Linked DNA regions of Oryctolagus cuniculus. The protein of the gene in region 1 interacts with the protein of each later gene in a biochemical or structural test. Links are inferred from orthologs where the notes say so. Each region holds a gene or a part of one and is shown on either strand. Other genes may lie near its edges.

Evidence for each region.
Region 2: the proteins of CABIN1 (region 1) and MEF2D form a complex in vitro, tested with the Homo sapiens proteins (2 studies listed by BioGRID). The link is inferred for Oryctolagus cuniculus from reciprocal best matches to the Homo sapiens genes CABIN1 and MEF2D.

The regions. Positions count from the first base shown.
Region 1 is NC_091452.1:30,882,904-30,886,808, forward strand, and holds the start of CABIN1 (calcineurin-binding protein cabin-1), read left to right. Parts: upstream 1-1,139; 5' UTR 1,140-1,248; exon of another isoform or gene 1,249-1,565; intron 1,566-3,905. UniProt on the Homo sapiens protein: May be required for replication-independent chromatin assembly. May serve as a negative regulator of T-cell receptor (TCR) signaling via inhibition of calcineurin. Inhibition of activated calcineurin is dependent on both PKC and calcium signals.
Region 2 is NC_091438.1:42,273,262-42,277,066, forward strand, and holds part of MEF2D (myocyte-specific enhancer factor 2D), read left to right. Parts: intron 1-740; coding exon 741-878; intron 879-929; coding exon of another isoform or gene 930-1,064; intron 1,065-1,776; coding exon 1,777-1,987; intron 1,988-2,163; coding exon 2,164-2,220; intron 2,221-3,805. UniProt on the Homo sapiens protein: Transcriptional activator which binds specifically to the MEF2 element, 5'-YTA[AT](4)TAR-3', found in numerous muscle-specific, growth factor- and stress-induced genes.

The DNA.
Region 1 (3,905 bases):
CTTCCAGGTAGGGGGTCCCAGCCCTTTCTGCCTGATTACCTTCCAGGTGCAGCCCAGTATCTGCACTTCAAACGCCCTCCCTGCCCTTCCTCTAAGGGTGCCCCGGGAGCAGCCAGCCAGACTTCCCCCTGTCTGATAACTTCAAGGAGAAAACTCAGAAGTTTTTCTATTTACATCCAAAAAGCCCTTTGTTCCAAGAGGAGCAGAGGTGGGGAAGCAAGACCCATCTCCTTAAAACCCCTGGCCTCAACCGGACTGCGCACTCAGCCCTCTGCCTTTCTGCTGAGCCTCCCACCTGCCTGCCTAGGAGTGCTCTCTCTACTCAACCATGTAACCTCGCTCCCCCCACCCCCAGTCCGAGCGACTGGGCACTCCCTCTCAGGTCCTGTCTGGAGAGGTGCCTGTCCGTTCTTACGGATGTCCTTTCTCTAATAAACTGTTACTTTACTTTCCACTACTCTGTCTCACGCCTGAATTCTTTCTTGCGCGAAGACAAGAACCCTGCCATTCACTGGTAACATGTGTGTGTTCTCCCTTATATGTGGGATCTAAAATTATGTGTATATACATATACATGTTTATTATGTAAACACCAGGTGTTGATTATTAGAGGCTGGGACGGGCGGAAGGGATAATGAGTATGGATTAAAAAAAATAAGGGAAGCTGGATTTGGTTCATCGTGATGCAGACACTAATATGATGTTAATAATAGGGGAAATGGGGTGAGGGGTGTCTGGGAGCTCTCTGCATTACTACCTCACAGTTTTTGTTTTGTGTATTAAAAACTGTTCCGAAATTAAATTAAAAAAAGAAGGCTGTTGCATTCATTCTTATTTAAGCATCCCTAGAGGGCCTCAAGCTCTGGCTCCAGGCCCCTGTCAGAGGCCCTTCAGCTCCTCTAAGTGCTCCAAGTTGCCATCGCGCGGTGAGAGCACCTATCTTAGCACCGGAACCGCCAGGTGATGCCGGTCGGTAGAGCCCGGAGCCGGACCGCGAGCCCACGGCTGCCCGCAAGGGTCCGGAACCAACCTGCGACCGCCCGGGTTTCCCAGACGCGTGCGGGGCTGCTTGGAGGGGCACCACCCACAAAGCCCAACTAGTCCGCCGCGCGGGCGAGCCGTACGTAGGAGCGCGCTGATTGGTCAGACGGACAGGCACCGCAGCCAATGGGAAAGCGCCTTGTTGTCAGGCGCGCCGCCGGCCGGCGCGGGGGTCCGAGTGGATGGCCGTTACCGTGGAGACGCCTGGTGAGTTCCGGTGCTGTGGGGTTGGGGGGCGTCTCCGGGGTTTGGAGGGGTGCGACCGGACTGTGCCAGGGCGCGGGCCGGAGCGCTGGTCGTGCGCGAGACCGAATCCCGCGAGAAGGCTGTGGGCGCCTCAGGCAGACCCCGGGGCTGCAGTCCGGGAAACTGAGGCCGGGCCTCCTGGCTGCCCCGCGGGCCTCGTCCCGGCCGTGCTGAGGGGCGGCTCCGGCCCCGAGAGTGACCGCGGCGGGAGCCACAGTTGATTCCGCCGCTGGCGTCCTCTCGCTCACCTTCACCGCAGCCGTGCGCGGTGAGTGCTGGTACGGGGAGCGCCGTTCACGGGGGTGGGGACGGAGGCCGGGGGATGGTGAAAGTGAGTGGGACAGAGGCACGCGGGGACTCTGGCCGGCTCGGGACCGGGAATCTTGACCAGCGTGCAGCACTGCTTCCCGGGAGAAGGCGGGCCCTGGGCTCGACAGGGCGCACCTGACACCCCCGGGTGTCTGCACAGGTGCTTTGGGGGCCGCCGATCTCGTCCGGATCTGGGTTGTGACAGGTGCGGGTGTGGGCAGGTCAGTTCCACGCGGCTCGGGTTCCCTCTGTAATTAGTTGCTGTGGTTGCAAATAAAATATTCTTAGAACGATCTTTAGGAATTTGCATGCTTGCGAATATAATTTTTCTTATAACGTGTCATAAATTGTGGAATACTAATAAAAGTTCGTGGAAAATGGAACTAAAAGGTAGGTTTGGGTACGAAAATTTTGAAATCCATGCATAGTTTTTTTTTATTAAGTAGTAGGTGTTTTCATGAATTTTTTGGAGACCCTTTGCATGGATTTCAAAAATATTTTGCATCAAAATAAACTTTTAATGCCAACTTTTGAAGGAACTTTGTACAATAAATATATTAATTTTTTTGATAGTACTTTAGATATTGGAGACGGTTCACTCTTCAGTTCCGGTGGTGGTGTTGTGGCTACAGATGGAGACAGCATGTAAGAGGGTGGCTGTGTGCCAAGAGAATTTTATTTACAGACGTTGAAATTTGAGTTTTATATACTTTGCACATGTCACCCGTGTTGTTCAACCATTTAAGAATGTTAAAAAAAAAAAAAAATCCTTTGCTCCTGGGCTGTACAAAAGCAATGGGCTGGTTAGCTTGCAGAAGGGGACCCAGGCCCAGACAAGGCGGTGTAGGCCAGGCCCCAGGCCGGAGCAGGCGGGAATCCGGTGTTTCTCAGTCTGGGTCAGGGTGCTGGTCCTTAGCATGTGCCCTTAGGCCAAGGAAACCGTACTCTGACGAGAGTTTGGGGACTTGTGAGTTGACACTGATGGTTGTTCCAAGGAGATGGAGCTGCTGGGTTAGGAGTCTGAGAAATGGTCCTAGGTAAAGCTTCCCGGATCTGAAAACCCATCGTCTGAAGTACTCCAAAAGCTGAGTTTTTGAGCTCTGACAACACCACAGTGGAAAATGCCGTGCCATGAAACTCTGTTTTATGCACACAACTGTTAAAAGTATTGTATAAAATTGCCTTCAGTTTACGTGCCTAATGTGTCTCTGAAACGATTTCAGGTATGTGCAAGTATTCCAGAATCCAAAAAAAGCAGAAATCTGAAACATGGCTCGTTTCAAATACTTCCAATAAGTGGTACTTCATCTGTACTTTCTCGTCTTTATTCAATAGCTGCTTGTTTTGTTGTTGTTTTAAGATTTGTTTACTTGAGAAGTAGAGTTACAGACAGAGGGGGGGAAAGAGAGAGGTCTTCCATCTGCTGGTTCACTCCCAGATAGCTGCCATGGCAGGAGCTGAGCTCATGTAAGTCAGGAGCCAGGAGCTTTCTCCAGGTCCAACCACCTGGGCCTTCCTCCACTGCCTTCCCAGGCCATCAGCAGGGAGCTGGATCTGGAGTGGAGCAGCAAGGACTTGAACCAGCAGCCATTTGGGACCTTGATGCCACAGGTGGGGACCTAACCTACTGCGCCATAGCACCAACCCCTGTCGTTGAGTTTTTCAATTCTGTAGAGGTTTCTGGAGGTCAGGGTGGCTAATGCTACATTGTCTCCATCCGCACATTGCTTTTACAGGTAGTGTGAATTCTCAAGTGTTCTTTTTAAGCTTTCTACATTTTAGACTAACTTTAGATTGGAAGAAAAGTTGTAGCAATTTATGTTCCACACCTTGACTGAACTGATGTCAACATCCTATGTGATCATAGTGTGCTTCTCAAGAACAAGAAACTAACGCTGGTGCACTGTTTTAACTACGCTTCCAAGGTGATTCGAATTGCACCAGTTTTGCCACTAAACTTCTGTTTTCATTCCAGGGTCCTTTCCAAGATCCCCGTTGCATTTCATTATTTCTCCTTCTATATAACAGTTCCTGTCCTTTTTTTTTTTTTTTTTTGGTCTTTCTTGGCTTTGAAAAGTGTATATTTTTAATTTTATCTGAAGGGGAGAGAGAGAGAGAGAGTGTGTGTGCTCCCATCTGTGGGGCCCTTCCTCAAACAGATGGAGCTGGGCCAAGCCAAGACTGGGAGCCAGGAACTCAATCCAGGTCTCTCACCGGGGCAGCAGGGAGCCCTCACTTGCTGCCTCCCAGGGTCTGCAGTAGCAGGAAGCTGGAATCGGAATTGGGAGAGGAGCTGGGGCTTGAACCTA
Region 2 (3,805 bases), on another chromosome or scaffold:
CTTTGGAATTCAGCTCTGGCCTTTGCCGGCCACGTGGCCTTGGGCAGGTGGCTTGGCCTCCCTGAGCCGTGGTGTTCCCTCCGCAGACTGGGGCCCATGCCTGCTTTAAAGGACACGATGTGAATAGAATGAGATGAGCCAGCTCCTGCTGCTCACACCAGGGTGCACACACCTTGGGGTGCAGAACCTCTGCCGACCACGAGGACGCCCAGGAAGGCACAGGCTGCCCCAGAGATTTGGAGGAGGTGCCCTCGTTTTTATGTTTGAGAAAGCAGATTCCCCCTAGACTAGAATGTACAATTTACATTGCTTTTGAAGATGAAGCAGGTGTCTGTAAAGATATTTTGAGCCTGGTGGGGGCAGTTTGGGGGCCAACTGCAGGCCCTTCCACGTGCCCCCACTTTGTTCAGATCAGCGCTGGGGGTGCACAGGAGAAGCTCTGACCTCTGGCATTGACAGTTTGTATGGTGGTACACAGTAGGAGCTCAATAAGTACTAGTTCCCCCTTTTGCTCTTCTATGTCCCCTTCTCTCTCTCTTACACTCCCCGTTCTACTGAGCAAAGCCTGGGGATTGGGATGGGCCAAGCCACCCTGATCATGTGCCCCTGGAGAACACGCAGTGGCCCAGTGGGGCGGGGCGGGGTGGGGAGATGCTGGGCCCCGGGAACCCTGAGGAAGGGGGCGGAGGGGGGGTTCTTAGCGGGGCTGGGAGGACCCTCGGCCTGCTGTGCGGTTACAGACCCTGAGGAAGAAGGGCTTCAACGGCTGCGACAGCCCCGAGCCCGACGGGGAGGACTCGCTGGAGCAGAGCCCCCTGCTGGAGGACAAGTACCGGCGCGCCAGCGAGGAGCTGGACGGGCTCTTCCGGCGCTACGGGGTGAGCCCCACTCACTGTCTCTCTGTTGGCCCCCTCCGGCCCCTCCCCCAGGCGCTGCACAAGAAGCACAGGGAATGTGAGAGCCCTGAGGTGGACGAGGTGTTTGCCCTGACCCCCCAGACGGAGGAGAAATATAAAAAGATAGACGAGGAGTTTGATAAAATGATGCAGAGTTATAGACTGGCCGTGAGTAGTCGCATGGAGGAGAGCCTCCCTGTGGTGCATGGTGTGGCTTCGCGCCCGGCCCTCGGCTGCCTCGGATGGCTGCTCCGCTCTGAGCCGTGCTGGGGCTGTAGTGACCACTGAGGAACCCCTGGCCTTGGCCGTGACGAACCTGTGACCCTCGCTGAGCCTCCTCTTGGGAGGCACGTAGGCTGAAGAGGCCTGCGGCGTGCCCCTCCCCCAGCGAGCAGGGTACGGAGGACAGGAGCGTAGAGAGTGCTTTTTCCCCAGGTCATTTGGGTGGGGGGTTGGGGGAGTGGAGACCCAGCTTCCGACACTCAGCATCGTTTCGGGGAAGGCAGTGAGGGGGCGCAGGCCTTTCACTGCTGCGTGTGAGTTTGGGTCTCCTGGGTTCTAACCTGCTCCCCGTGTGTCCTGGCTGGCTGAGGACTAATCCACCTCCACCAGGGGGCGGCCCTGGTCCTGTGTGCAGCGGGCAGCGCCTAGGTCTCGTCATCCGGGCCACAGCGGGATCCCAAAGCGCTCCCACCAGTGCGCTTCCTTGGTGGGAGTGGCAGGCAGGACTCCAGGAGGGCCCAGGGCAGAGAGCCCCAGCTGCTGGCCGTAGGATGCACCGCCTGGGAGCCAGAAGAGCCCTCGCCTTCCCTCTCAGGCATTGTGGGCCCCGGGTCTGGGCTCACCCCGGCCTGACTTACCCCTCCGTCTTTCTGTCTAGTCAGCTGTCCCGGCCCCCAACTTTGCCATGCCTGTCACGGTGCCCGTGTCCAACCAGAGCTCCCTGCAGTTCAGCAACCCCAGCGGCTCCCTGGTCACCCCTTCCCTGGTGACGTCGTCCCTCACGGACCCGCGGCTCCTGTCCCCCCAGCAGCCAGCACTACAGAGGAACAGTGTGTCTCCCGGCCTGCCCCAGCGGCCAGCCAGTGCAGGTGAGGGCTGGGAGTGAGCCGTGCTGGGGACTTGGGGAGTTCCTTTTCAACAGTGAGTGTTTCCCTTCCCCCATGCAGCAGTCCCCCGATTGTGCGGCCCCTCCTCCCGGGGTCCCCAAGACTCAGTGTGGGACGGGGAGTGCTGCCAGCTCATCACGTTTCTGCTTTCCCTCCAGGGGCCATGCTGGGGGGAGACCTCACCAGCGCGAACGGAGCCTGTCCCAGTCCCGTCGGTGAGTGCCGCCGCCCTTCTGCCTGGCGGTGGGCAGGGTTGCCCCTCCGCCCCTGGGACCCGGAAGGACTTAGAGCAGTGCAGAGGAAGAAGCCAGGGTCCGAAGTGCAGGCCCCTGGACTCTGTGGCCTGTGGCAGTGATGGGTGTGGATGAGCAGTAGAGATGTAGGCTCGGGAATTCTGGGACACAGAATGAAGCAGCATTCCCAGTTGGAGGAGAGGATCTAAGGGCTTCCAGCGAGTGGGGTGCTGGTCTTGGGGGGGTGATAGTGCCTGGTGCTACGTGGACCACTGTAAGCACGGGCCGTACACACCCACATCTGTGCGTTCTCGCTCTGATGCTGACGGAAATAACTGTAAGCACACACGTGCAAGCCACAGAAGAAGGGCAGCTGCCCTGTCCCCCACCCTGCAGCCCGCAGTCCCGGCTGTCCTGTGCTCCTGTCTGTTTTGGTGGCTGACTGCGAATGTCACCGCTGACGTCACCTGACATTCTTGCCATTCTCAGAGTGATCCGGGAATGGGATGGAGGCAGCCACACACTTCCAGGGTGACTGCGTGCTCTTGGGGAACAGGGCAAGGTGGCATTTCTGACTCTGGCTGCCCCCGCACCCTCAGCCCTCAGAGTCCCCCGCCCAGCCTCAGTCGTCGGGCACTGCTCGTGCGCTGGGGTCGGGAACCTGGGAGAATGGGTGAATCCCCTCCCACTCCAATGAGAGCCCCAAAGCGAAACTTGCAGGCCTGGCCCAAACAGGGATGCGTGTAGGCCCTCACGTCCAGCGTGTGGAAGGCAGGCGAGGGCCCCAGCTGTGTGGCCCTGCACGGATTGTTACACCTCTCCCAGGCAGGCTGAGCCAGGGCTGATGGCACCTGTCCTGGCCGTTCTGCAGGTTATCGTGAGGATCAGATGAGATAGTGCATGTGTGTGAAAGGCCTGTGGAGATGGCGGAGCGCGGCGCTCATCGCTCATCGCTGCCGGTCGGCTGCTGCTGGTGGCCGTGTTAGCGGTGCTTAAGTGCCAGGAGGCCTGTCGCCATGGCCAAGCAGCTTGTTTCCCCTGGCCGCAGGCAGCTCGCCCGTGTGCTGCAGATAGCAGCCTCCCCAGCCGACGGCGTAGGGAGCACGCCGAGCGGTGGGTGGCCGGGCTCCTCAGGGTGGCTGATTCCGGCTATCGCCCCTTCCCCGCGCGGCCGTCCAGTCCTGTCCAAGGCAGATTCTGGGCGCTGAGAGCGCTGGACTGAACAGGTGCCAAAGAAGAGCATAACGCAAGGAGAGGCCCAGCCGTAGTAGAACCTCCCGGCCAGCACTGGGCCGGAGGTCACAGCCGCGTTCCCTTTGCGGCCTCGGAGCACCCAGGCCTGTCACGGGTATCTCGGGGGCAGGGCAGTGAACTAGTGATTCGGGAGTGAGGGCTCTTCTTCCTTCCGTTCCTGCAAGACTGGATGGCTTTAAGGACACCAGCTCAATGCCCACTCCCAGCCCAGGCGCAGCTGTCAGAGGTCCCGGGCGCTAGGGGCGGGCGTGGACAAGGGCAGGCACTAACGGGGAGGCTGTGGTCTTCCTCCTCCCCTCCTCTCCTCACTTCT